Linked DNA regions of Anolis sagrei. The protein of the gene in region 1 purifies or fractionates together with the protein of each later gene. This does not show direct contact. Links are inferred from orthologs where the notes say so. Each region holds a gene or a part of one and is shown in the gene's direction. Other genes may lie near its edges.

What was found. The genes of interacting proteins can lie anywhere in the genome.
Region 2: the proteins of NRP1 (region 1) and FAM241A purify together in Homo sapiens (affinity purification with mass spectrometry; 3 studies listed by BioGRID and IntAct, with this or other methods). This does not show direct contact. The link is inferred for Anolis sagrei from reciprocal best matches to the Homo sapiens genes NRP1 and FAM241A.
Region 3: the proteins of NRP1 (region 1) and KDR purify together in Homo sapiens (affinity purification with western blotting; 7 studies listed by BioGRID and IntAct, with this or other methods). This does not show direct contact. The link is inferred for Anolis sagrei from reciprocal best matches to the Homo sapiens genes NRP1 and KDR.

What each region holds. Positions count from the first base shown.
Region 1 is NC_090026.1:112,929,438-112,933,187, reverse strand, and holds the start of NRP1 (neuropilin-1), read left to right. Parts: upstream 1-980; 5' UTR 981-1,949; coding exon 1,950-2,016; intron 2,017-3,750. UniProt on the Homo sapiens protein: Cell-surface receptor involved in the development of the cardiovascular system, in angiogenesis, in the formation of certain neuronal circuits and in organogenesis outside the nervous system. Mediates the chemorepulsant activity of semaphorins.
Region 2 is NC_090025.1:32,299,447-32,303,196, forward strand, and holds the start of FAM241A (uncharacterized protein FAM241A), read left to right. Parts: upstream 1-895; 5' UTR 896-1,292; coding exon 1,293-1,514; intron 1,515-3,750.
Region 3 is NC_090025.1:73,774,524-73,778,273, forward strand, and holds the start of KDR (vascular endothelial growth factor receptor 2), read left to right. Parts: upstream 1-1,009; 5' UTR 1,010-1,169; coding exon 1,170-1,242; intron 1,243-3,750. UniProt on the Homo sapiens protein: Tyrosine-protein kinase that acts as a cell-surface receptor for VEGFA, VEGFC and VEGFD. Plays an essential role in the regulation of angiogenesis, vascular development, vascular permeability, and embryonic hematopoiesis.

The sequences.
Region 1 (3,750 bases):
GCTGGATGGGTTGTTGTAGGTTTTTCCGGGCTATATGGCCATGTTCTGGAGGCAATTTTTCTCCTGACGTTTCGCCTGCATCTATGGCAAGCATCCTCAGAGGTAGTGAGGTCTGTTGGAAGTAGGAAAAATGGGTTTATATATCTGTGGAATGACCAGGGTGAGACAAAGGACTTTTGTCTGCTGGGGCTAGGTGTGATGCTGGATGGCCATCTGTCAGGGGTGCTTTGAATGCAATATTCCTCCTTCTTGGCAGGGGGTTGGACTGGATGGCCCATGAGGTCTCTTCCAACTCTATGATTCTATATCCAGCTCTTTAAGCCGCTCCTCAGAGGGCTTGTTCTCCAGACCCTTGATCAATTTAGTCGTCCTCCTCTGAGCACATTCCAGCTTGTCAACATCTCCTTTCCATTGTGGTGCCCAGTCATGGGAGTCCCTTGTGCCAAGTTTAGTTCAATTCCATTGTTGGTGGAGTTCAGAATGCTCTTTGATTGTAAGGGAACTACAATTCCCAAATGACAAAATCAGTCCCTCTCCAACCCTAAAAGTATTCAAATTTGGGCTATCGGGTATTTTGGTCCAGTGAATGAAAATACATCCTGCACATCGGATATTTCCATGACGATTCCTAACAGTAGCAAAATGACAGTTATGAAGTCGCAAGGAAAATAATGTGATGTTTGGGGGGTCACCACAACATGAGGAAGTGCATGAGGAAGGTCGAGACCCACTGGACTAGATGACCCTTTGGGGGAGGTCTCCTCCTGCGAGGCTGTGCGCCTGTGCTGCTGCTGCTGCTGCCGCGCCCTCCTTGCCCCCTTCCCCGGCTCTGCTTCACCTGCCTTGCCGAGACTGGGGCACTCTCCGCCAGGAAGCGTCTCCCCTCGGCGTGCCCCTTCTGCTGCTGCTCCTGTTCCTCCTCTTCTTCCCGTCCCTCCTTCCCCATGAGCCACTCCACCCCTTCTCCGACTCCCTCCTCCACGAATTGGTGGATTGGTGGGCTCGTTCTGGTTGTTTGTTGATCCTTCTTCCTTTTTCGGGTGGGAGAAGGCGGGGACTGGCGGCTCCGGAGGCGGCGGCTCCTCTCTTATTATTGGCACCGAGTTGCGCTTCTCTTCCTCAGCCTGCAAGAGAAGGAAGAGCCGCCCGGACGCTGGGCAGAGACAGAGACAGAGAGATACTTCTTGCTCCGCTTCCTCTTGGATTACAGAGCCGACAAGAAGGACATTGGGTGGCCGCTCTTCCTTCCCTTCCCTTGCAGAAGTGTGCCCAAAATCCACATTGGACTCTGTGTGGAGGAGAAGAAGGCAAAGCACCGCCCTCTCCATCAACATCTTCTTCTTCCTCCTCCTCCTTCTCAGACCATCTCTCCAAGAAGGCATCTCTTGGTGCTCCTCTTGCCTCCAAATGCCAGCTGATCGAGAGGCGAAGAGAGCATGAAGTTGGGCAAGAAGTCCTTCTTCTCATTGGCATTGCTTCTCCTTCTTCTCCTTCTTCCTCTCCACAGACAGGCAGTCGTCTCTCCCCGGTGAGACCTTCCTCCTCCTGGAGACGTTTCTCTTCGAGGCAAAGCTGTGAAGGGTTTTGTTTTCCTCCTTCTCCTCCTTCCTCCCTTCTGTTGTGACTTCCTTGCGAGCTTTTCTTTCCCACCCCTTTCCAAGCCAGCTTGGAAATGGCAAAGGCAGTGACGCCTGGAAGAGGAACAAGTGTGGGAAAAGGCAGAGGAAACTGGAGCTGAATGACAGGATGCGGGAGACTTGAGGAGATCTAGTATATCCACACGTCCTTTGCTACCAACGGGACTCTGCTTGCTGCTATTGCTCCTGAAACAGCTTGATGCATATTGCTTGTGTTTTTTGAAACTCCCTTTCCTGGAGGATTTAAGATTGCGTGCGGAAACAGGGATACTCTGTTCTCTTCCTACAATCCTCGAGGACCAAGAAAGGAAGATGGATTGGGGGCTCTTCCTGAACTATGTCGCCCTCACGGCCACCCTTGGCAGGGCTTTGAAGAGCGGTAAGTGGCCACTTTGCATGCTTTCCAGGGTGTATCCAGGTAACTGCCAGGAAAAGGGCCCTTTCCTCTTCTTTTTTTGTTGTGTCAGGAGCGACTTGAGAAACTGCAAGTCGCTTCTGGCGTGAAAGAATTGGCCGTCTGCAAGGACCTTGCCCAGGGGACGCCCGGATGTTTTGATATGTTACCATCCTTGTGGGAAGCTTCTCTCATGTCCCCGCATGGAAAGCTGGAGCTGACAGAGGGAGCTCATCCACGCTCTCGCCAGATTCGAACCTCCGACCTGTCAGTCTTCAGTCCTGCTGGCACAAGGGTTTAACCCACTGCGCGACCTAGGGCTCCCGTGAGATTATTATTATTATTATTATTAATTTCCTGCATTTGTACCCGCCCTTATCCCCCGTGGGGGACTCAGGGCGGCCTAAAGGTTCAAGTCTGCAAGGAGGCACATCACAACATCCCAGATTAGGTGCAACTTTTCTTTTTGTGTGTGTGTGTCCTGTCAGGAGCGACTTGAGAAACTACAAGTCGCTTCTGGTGTGAGAGAATTGGCCGTCTGCAAGGACGTTGCCCAGGGGATACCTGGATGCTTGATGTTTTGCCATCCTTGTGGGAGGCTTCTCTCATGTCCCCGCAGGGGGAGCTGGAGCTAATAGAGGGAGTTCATCCTTTCCTCCTTCCCAGGTAGGTTAAGAAGTCGACCAAAAAGCAGGCTTCAGACTACTCACTCAGAAACAGGACAGATACTACTTTATCACATTAGAGAATGAATCCACTTTCAATCCGGTTGCTGCCTCCCACGGAATTCTGGGGTTTGTAGTTTAAGGAGGAGCCTTTAACAGCTTCACTAAACTACAAACCCCAGAATTCTACAGGAGGCAAAAACCAGATTTAAAGTGGATTCATTCTCTAGTGTGATGTGGTCCATAAAGACTCATACACAAAGTACCCAGAGTTGCACCTAGTCTCACAGGAGCCCTAGGTCGCACAAGGGTTAAACCTTGTGCCAGCAGGACTGAAGACTGACTGGTTGGAGGTTCTAATCCAGGAAGAGTGTGGATGAGCTCCCTCTGTCAGCTCCAGCTCCCCATGCGGGGACATGGGAGAAGCCTCCCACAAGGATGGTAAAACATCAAAACATTCAAGTGTCCCCTGAGCAACACCACAGCTGATTCTCACAAGAGAAACCTCTGGCAATTCCACAAGGTGTCTCCTTTAAAACTGGACAGATGAGTAGTTTTTTTTTAAAGGAGGAGGACTCTTTTCCCCATTCTGTCATTCATTCATTCATTCATTCATTCATTCTTCTTTGGATCTATGTGTAGTATCTAAGAAAGATAGACATGTCCTTTTCTTTAACTTTCTATATGCCTAAACAAAAGAGCTTGAGTTTACAAGATACTTGTCATGCTGTCAGTCTCTGGCATTATGAGCTGCCAATTATGACAGAAAGGAGGAAACCAGGAAAATGAACAAAATCTGGCTAACAATATTAGAAAAAAAACTCTAAAATCAGGACAATAAAGAAAGAACGACACTCAAAAACGGAGGGATTCCAGACAAGAAACAATCAGGGCCAGCTAATCACCTCCCAACAAAGGATTCCCCCAGGCAGGAAGCAGCCAAGCCTTGATGCTGCAAGGCTTTTCAGTGCTAATCAATTGCAACATTCACACTTGCCTCAACAGACAAGAGTTCTTTCTCCTACTTTGGACATTCCACAGATATATAAACCTC
Region 2 (3,750 bases), on another chromosome or scaffold:
GCCCACTTTTCTGTGTGCCCAGGAGGGAGTCTCTCATTTGGTATCAGCCACTGATTGAGGTTCTGGGTTTTAACCTGCCACTTCTTGCTTGCTGAAGTGTTCCAGCGAGTGTCTAGTGTGATGAAGTAGCCGGAGAATTCCCAGGCTATTTCCAAAAAGGTTATGGAGATTTCCATTGTCCAAAACTTTCATGGCTCAGGAATACTATGTAACAATTGAAGAGAGATATTGACAAGCTGGAATGTGTCCAGAGGAAGGCAAAATGATCAAGGATCTGGAGAACAAGCCTTATGAGGAATAGCTTAAAGACCTGGGCATGTTTAGCCTGAAGAAGAGAAGGCTGAAAGGAGACATGATAGCTATGTATAAATGTGTGAGTGGAAGTCATAGGGAAGAGGGAAACAAGCTTGTTTCCTGCTACCCTGGAGACCAGGACTTGGAACGATGGCTTCAAACTTCAAGAAAGGAAATTCCATCTGAACATAAGGAAGAACTTCCTGACTGAGAGCTGTTCAGCAGTGGAACTCTCTGCCCCGGAGTGTGGTGGAGGCTCCTTCTTTGGAAGCTTTTAAACAGAGGCTGGATGGCCATTTGTCGGGTGTGCATTGAATGCAATTTTCCTGCTTCTTGACAGGGGGTTGGACTGGATGGCCCATGAGGTCTCTTCCAACTCTATGATTCCTGAGAGTTGCAGTTCTTGAATGTTTCCAGCCTTCTCTGCCAAAGCATGCTGGTGCTTCAGCAAACTACAACTCCCACGATGCCTGTAGCATGGAGGCTTGGCACTTCGAAGGGCTGTCAGGCGTGCACTCAAGGCGTCCAAGTTGGAAGGCAAGTTGCCCATGCTTGCCGCCCCTTTGGCCCAGCCACTCCTCCAGAGGTGGGCGCTTTCCACGAAGGAGAGACACGAGGGGGAGGAAGGGAGACGCTGTATAAAGAGAGGCGGCTGGGAGGGCTGGGGAACAAAAGGCGGAGAGGCACGCCGCTTCCTCCTTTCTCCCTTGCGCGCTCCCCCTTTTCACTCCCACTCCGCCTCCGCGCGCGCTTCCTTCCCTTTTTTCCCGGGGTCGCCTTTCGGCCCTCCGCCTCCCACTGGATCCCGTGACGGCTCCCCAGCCAGGCACGCCCTGCCAAGAAGGAGAAGGCAAAGACAGCAGCAGAGGCGGCAGGAACCGCAGCGGCGCCGCCACGGAGCTTCCTCGCGCGTGGGCTTGGACGCCCTGCGCGCGGGGCAGCAGCAGCAGCAGTAGCAGCAGGCGCGATCCGGGCTCTTCTCGTGTTCTTCCCCCGCGATGGGCTCCACGGAGGAGCTGCTCTGGCTGCAAACGACGGAATGTGTCTTGGGAAAGGAGTGGGAACGGGAGCCGGCGGCGCCATCGCGCTCCTCCTCGTCCCCCCTCGCCATTGGGAAAGCGAGGAGGCAAAGGAAGAAGCAGCAGCAACCACAAGAGCCATGGACACCCGAGGAAGAAGAGGAGGACGAGGACGAGGAAGAGCGGCAGCCCCAACAGCAGGTGAGCCGATGCTTGCCTCTCTTACTCTCCCTACCCACAAGGTTTGATATCCACAAGCCTTCCCCCATTGATTCCCACTGGCCATGCAATCAATCCATCGTTCTCATGGATTGGCTTGTGATGTAACATAGGAGACTGCTGGATTTACAGGTAGAAAGGCAGGGAAGGTGTCACCTTTTGTTCCTGGCTCCTTTTGTACACTCCTCTGCCTCCAATCTGGATTTTGTTGCCTCCCACATGGACTGCAAAACCCATGCCAAGTGTTGAAGCAGACTGTGAGGCTTGCAGGTAAAAAGAATTGGAAGTTGGCATTTAGGAGAGCCGGTTTTGTTCCAGGCTGCAAAGCTCTTGGTTAAAGGAGGAGGAGGAGCCACAAGAGCAGGTGAGCCCAGGCCTGCCTCTCTTGCCCTCGCCACCTGCAAAATAATAATAGTAAAATAATAATAATAAAGGTGGTCCTAGTGATGATCGGCCCACTGGGTGCAGTGCCTAAAGACCTTGGCCTGCACTTAAACACAATCGGCGCTGACAAAATTACCATCTGCCAGCTGCAGAAGGCCACCTTACTGGCACTATTCACCGATACATCACACAGTCCTAGACACTTGGGAAGGGTCCGAAGTATGATCCATTTCAACAGGCAGCAGAGTGTTTGCTGTGGACTCATCTTGTTGTGTTTCAAATTATTATTATTATTATTATTATTATTATTATTTATACTCCGCCACCATCTCCCCAAAAGGGACTCAGAGTGGTTTACATGAGGCTAAGCCCAGCAATACATTACAGCAACATAAAATATAAACAACAAAACAACATCACAATAAAATAAACAAACCAGTGCTGGGGAAAAAGCAGCGTGGCCGCACACTGGGTGCAGTGCCTAAAGACCTTGGCCTATACTTAAACACAATCGGCGCTGACAAAATTACCATCTGCCAGCTGCAAAAGGCCACCTTACTGGGATCTGCACACATTATTCGCCGATACATCACACAGTCCTAGACACTTGGGAAGTGTCGGACATGTGATCCAATACAACAGCCAGCAGAGTATCTGCTGTGCACTCATCTTGTTGTGTTGCAAATAATAATAATAAACTTTATTTATATTCCGCCACTATCTCCCCAAAGGGAACTCGGAGCAAGTTACATGAGGCCAAGCCCAGCGATACATTACAGCAACATAAAATATAAACAACAAAATAACATCACAATAAAATAAACCAGTGCTGGGGAAAAAGCAGTGCTGGGAAAAAGGGGATACAATGTTCTCTCGCTACGGTTTGCATGGACTCGCTGTTTCGCGGGTTGTTGCCTCCCAGTTGACAAATGGTTGTCATTGACCAGTGCAGCATTTTAATCCCGCTTATTGGCAACGATGGAGTGTGGAAGGGGGGTTCACCCTCCCCATCTTGAGAGAGGCAGCCAATCAAGAGAAACTTCAAAGCAAAAAAATAAATAAATGTGTATGGTGCCTTTAAATCTCTCCTCACTTCTACCTCACCTTTGGAACTGAATATACATATATAGCCTCCCTACTTCGCAGGTTTTCACTTTTTGCGGGTGGTCCTGGAACGTAACACCTGTGATAAGTGAGAGAACACTATATGTCAGACCTTTCATCCCCACTGTGGTCCCATCTACACTGCCATATAATCCAGATTATCTTCTTCGAACTGGATAGTTTATGTATTAATTCAATACATTTTTACTGTAAAGGTAAAGGTTTCCCATGACATTAAGTCTAGTTGTGTCCAACTCTGGGGGTGGTGCTCATTATTTCTAAGCTGAAGAGCTGGCATTGTCCATAGACACCTCCAAGGTCATGTGGCCAACATGACTGCATGGAGTGTCATTACCTTCCTGCAGAAGCAGTACCTATTGATTTTCCCATATGAACCGACATGAGCTCTAAGATCTGTTGAGGAGGACCTTCTCTCGCTCCCACCTCCATCTCAAGCATGGTTGGTGGAGACGAGAGAGAGGGCTTTCTCGGTGGTCCCCCGTTCCCCCCCCCCCCCAGCTCTGGAACTCTCTCCCCAGGGAGATTAGATTAGCACCTACCCTGTCCATTTTCCATAAAGACCTAAAGACTTGAATGTTCCAATGTGCTTTTGATTAATCCGATTCACTAGGTGATAACCCCTCCCCCAGCTATAATACTGGGCACTTGAACTTTATTATTATTTCTTTCCTTGTAGTGTACTCTACTAATTGATCTGACCCCTCTAGCC
Region 3 (3,750 bases), on another chromosome or scaffold:
AATGCTCTGTGATTGTAGGTGAACTATAAATCCCAGCAACTACAACTCCCAAATGTCAAAATTCTATTTTCCCCAAACTCCACCAGTGTTCACATTTGGACATATTGAGTATTCATGTAGAGTTTGGTCCAGATCCATCATTGTTTGAGTCCACAGTGATCTCTAGATGTAGGTGAACTACAACTCCAAAACCAAAGGACACTGCCCACCAAACCCTTCCAGTATTTTCTGTTGTTCGTGGGAGTTCTGTCTGCCAAGTTTGGTTCAATTCCATCGTTGGTCGCAGGCCCGTAGCCAGGATTTTGATTCGGGGGATGCTGAGTTTGATTCAAAAAGGGGGGGGGGGGCTGAGGATCTATCCTACCAAACCTTTTGTATCATTATCCCAATACCCCCATGCATATGGGATATATTGAGCATGGTGATCAGATCATGATATGAATAAACGTAACAGTTTAAATAATGTACCAGTAAGAATAAGAATTTCGAGGGTGGGGGGCTGAAGCCTCTCAAGCCCCCCCCCCCCCGCTACATGCCTGGTTGGTGGGGTTCAGAATGCTCTTTGATTGTAGGTGAACTATAAATCCCAGCAACTACAACTCCCAAATGACAAAATCAATTTTTTGAGTGATGGTAACTTCTTGGGTCAGTAGGTGTCTTGTGTCCAAATTTGGTGTCAATTCATCCAGTGGTTTTTGAGTTCTGTTAATCCCACAAACGAACATTACATTTTTATTTATATAGATTATATTTTTATATATTGTATTATAAGACACTGCAATGCCTGAAAATTGGAGCAGAATTCTAATGCTTAGTAGGTACAACACCTCCCCCCCCCCCCCCCCATAGAAAGACAAGGCTCCTACAGCTAAGTAGAGGGAACTCTCAAGGGGGGCGGGGCTTGGCAAGGCTCCTCCCCCTCGGAACGTAGAAGAAGCCCTGCGCCCTGTGATTGGTCCTCCCGGATTGGGAAAGCCCCGCCTTCCAGGCTCCTGTGGCTGGTCTGCGGGAAGGCACAGCAGTTTTCCAATTTCCATCTGCCTGAGCTTCTTCTCGGATTGAGCAGCGCTTGGATCCAAAGCCAGAGGGAGAGAAGCTGATGCCAGGGCGCTGAGACTGACCAGGATCCCTTCCTTCCCTGGACTCCTTTGGTGCTGCTCCGAGGACAGATGGAGCTGGGCGCCCCACTGGGGCTCTTCGTCCTGCTGTTGCTTCTTGCAGAGCCTTGGAGGGTCCATTCAGGTAAGGCAGGCACGAGCTGTCTGCTGTTATTGTCTTGTGAGGGGAGGCATCTATAAACACCCTAAAGGCAGCAGATCCCGTCTGAACTGGGATGCTAAGCAGGGTCGGCCTTGGATAGCACTTGGATGGGAGACCGCCAAGCCATACCAAAGATTCCAAGTGTCAATGATAACACTATGAAGTATGATTACCTTAAAGGCAGCAGATCCCCTTTGAGCTGGGATGCTAAGCAGGGCCGGCCTTGGATAGCACTTGGATGGGAGACTGCCAAGCTATACCGAAGATTCCAAGTGTCAATGATAACATTATGTAATATGATTGCCCTAAACACAGCAGATCCCCTCTGAGCTGGGATGCTAAGCAGGGTCGGCCCTGGATAGTACTTGGATGGGAGACCGCCAAGCTATACCGAAGATTCCAAGTGTCAGTGATAACACTATGTAATATGATTACCTTAAAGGAAGCAGATCCCCTCTGAGGTGGGATGCTAAGCAGGGTCTACCCTGGATAGCACTTGGATGGGAGACCGCCAAGCCATACCGAAGATGCCAAGTATAAACAATAGCACTATCTAATATGATGTTTGTTCTTGGGTTGTCGAGGCCATTTCCTGACTGGTTTTATCATAAAGGCATGGGAAAAGTTGATTAAACTGCCTAAACTTAATCCCGCAGCACAGGTTGCTCTCGCTTTTCAATGAATATCTCACAAGAAACTCAACCAATTTGACATATTTATTTACTATATTTGTATACCGCCCTTCTCAGCCTTCAGGTAACTCAGGGTGGCTTACAATGGCAATGATTCGATGCCCAAAAACATAATAAAACATTTAAAAACATTAACACATAATATAAAACCATAACAAGAATACTAAAAGCATACATCATTTGTGTCTCCTAATAAAAACATTGACATAGTTTGTAGCAGCCACAAAAAAACAAAGTTTTGGGAGTAGGACAACTCCTTTAAAAGTAAGTAAGCTGGAACGTGTCCAGAGGAGGGTGATTAAAATGATCAAGGGTCTGGAGAACAAGCCCTATGAGGAGCGGCTTAAAGACCTGGGCATGTTTAGCCTGAAGAAGAGAAGGTTTAGAGGAGACATGATGAGGACATGTATAAATATGTGAGAGGAAGTCATAGGAAGGAGGGAGCAAGCTTGTTTTCTGCTGCCTTGGAGACTAGGACGTAATTGAACAATGGCTTCAAACTACAAGAAAGGAGATTCCATCTGAACATTAGGAAGAACTTCCTGACTGTGAGAGCTGTTCAGCAGTGGAACTCTCTGCCGCGGAGTGTGGTGGAGGCTCCTTCTTTGAGTGTCTCTTGGTTTTTTTCACTCAGGGGATCCAGGGATTGGGTGGGAAGGGATCTTCCCTAGCCCTCCACAATCTATGGAGAAGGGACAAGAGAGCAATTTTTCCCTGGCAAGGAGTTTGGAGGGTTGGGAAAACCATAGGTTGTGTGCCATGCTTTGTCCTGCATAGCCCTTAGCCCAAGGCACATGAGTAGCATAGGCAGAAAAATCTCACTGTCAACATGAGTTCTTAGAGAGACCCACTAAGAAAGACCCAGAGGTTGTGAGGCCATAGGACCTCACAACCTCTGGGGGGATGCCTGCCATAGATGCAGGCAAAATGTCAGGAGAGAATGCTTCTGGAACATGGCTATACAGCTCGGAAAACTCACAACAACCCAGTCATAGGAGTGCTCTACTCCCGATGGGCAGTGTCAGTTCTCTAGCCATGGGTAAAGAGAGAGTGAAAAAAAGGAGTTTGATGTGCGTAGTGATTTGGGAAAAGTCTCCTTCTCCAAGCGATGTTGGTGCTGCTGAAAGTGACAAACTTCCTGCTGGATTTTCTCAAGGGTGGGATTCAGGGAAAGGAGGGAGATGACTCACCTCTATATCAGGGGAAACAATGTGGCCAAGGTTTAGATTACACTATATAACATGATTTTTGCTCCTGGGTTATAAATGTCATTTCCTAATGCAATCTGTTGTAGAAACTTGGAAAAAGTTAATTAAACTGCCAAAACTTTGTTTCTGTGGGTCATCCTGTGGCACATTTTGTCATAGTTTTTTTTAATAGTATTATACTACTACTACTACTACTACTACTACTACTAATAATAATAATATTATGATATAATTATATATTTATATTACATGTAATATTTCTAATAATATTACAATATAATGGTATACCACAATATAGTAATATTTAATACTGATATTGTACTATGCTAATAATATAATATATTGTATGTATATATATCTTGTAAGCCGCTCTGAGTCCTGCTCTGAGAAGGGCGGCATATAAATGTCGTAAATCAATCAATCAATTAATATAGTTTTTCAATGAATATCTCATAGAATCTCAACCAATTCAACACAGAGTTCTTCCAGACAGGCCCCATATCGCAGGATCCAGTCCCAAGTTTTCTGCTTTAAACTGAATTATATGAATCTGCACTGCCAGATAATCTGGGATAAACAAAAAACCTGGA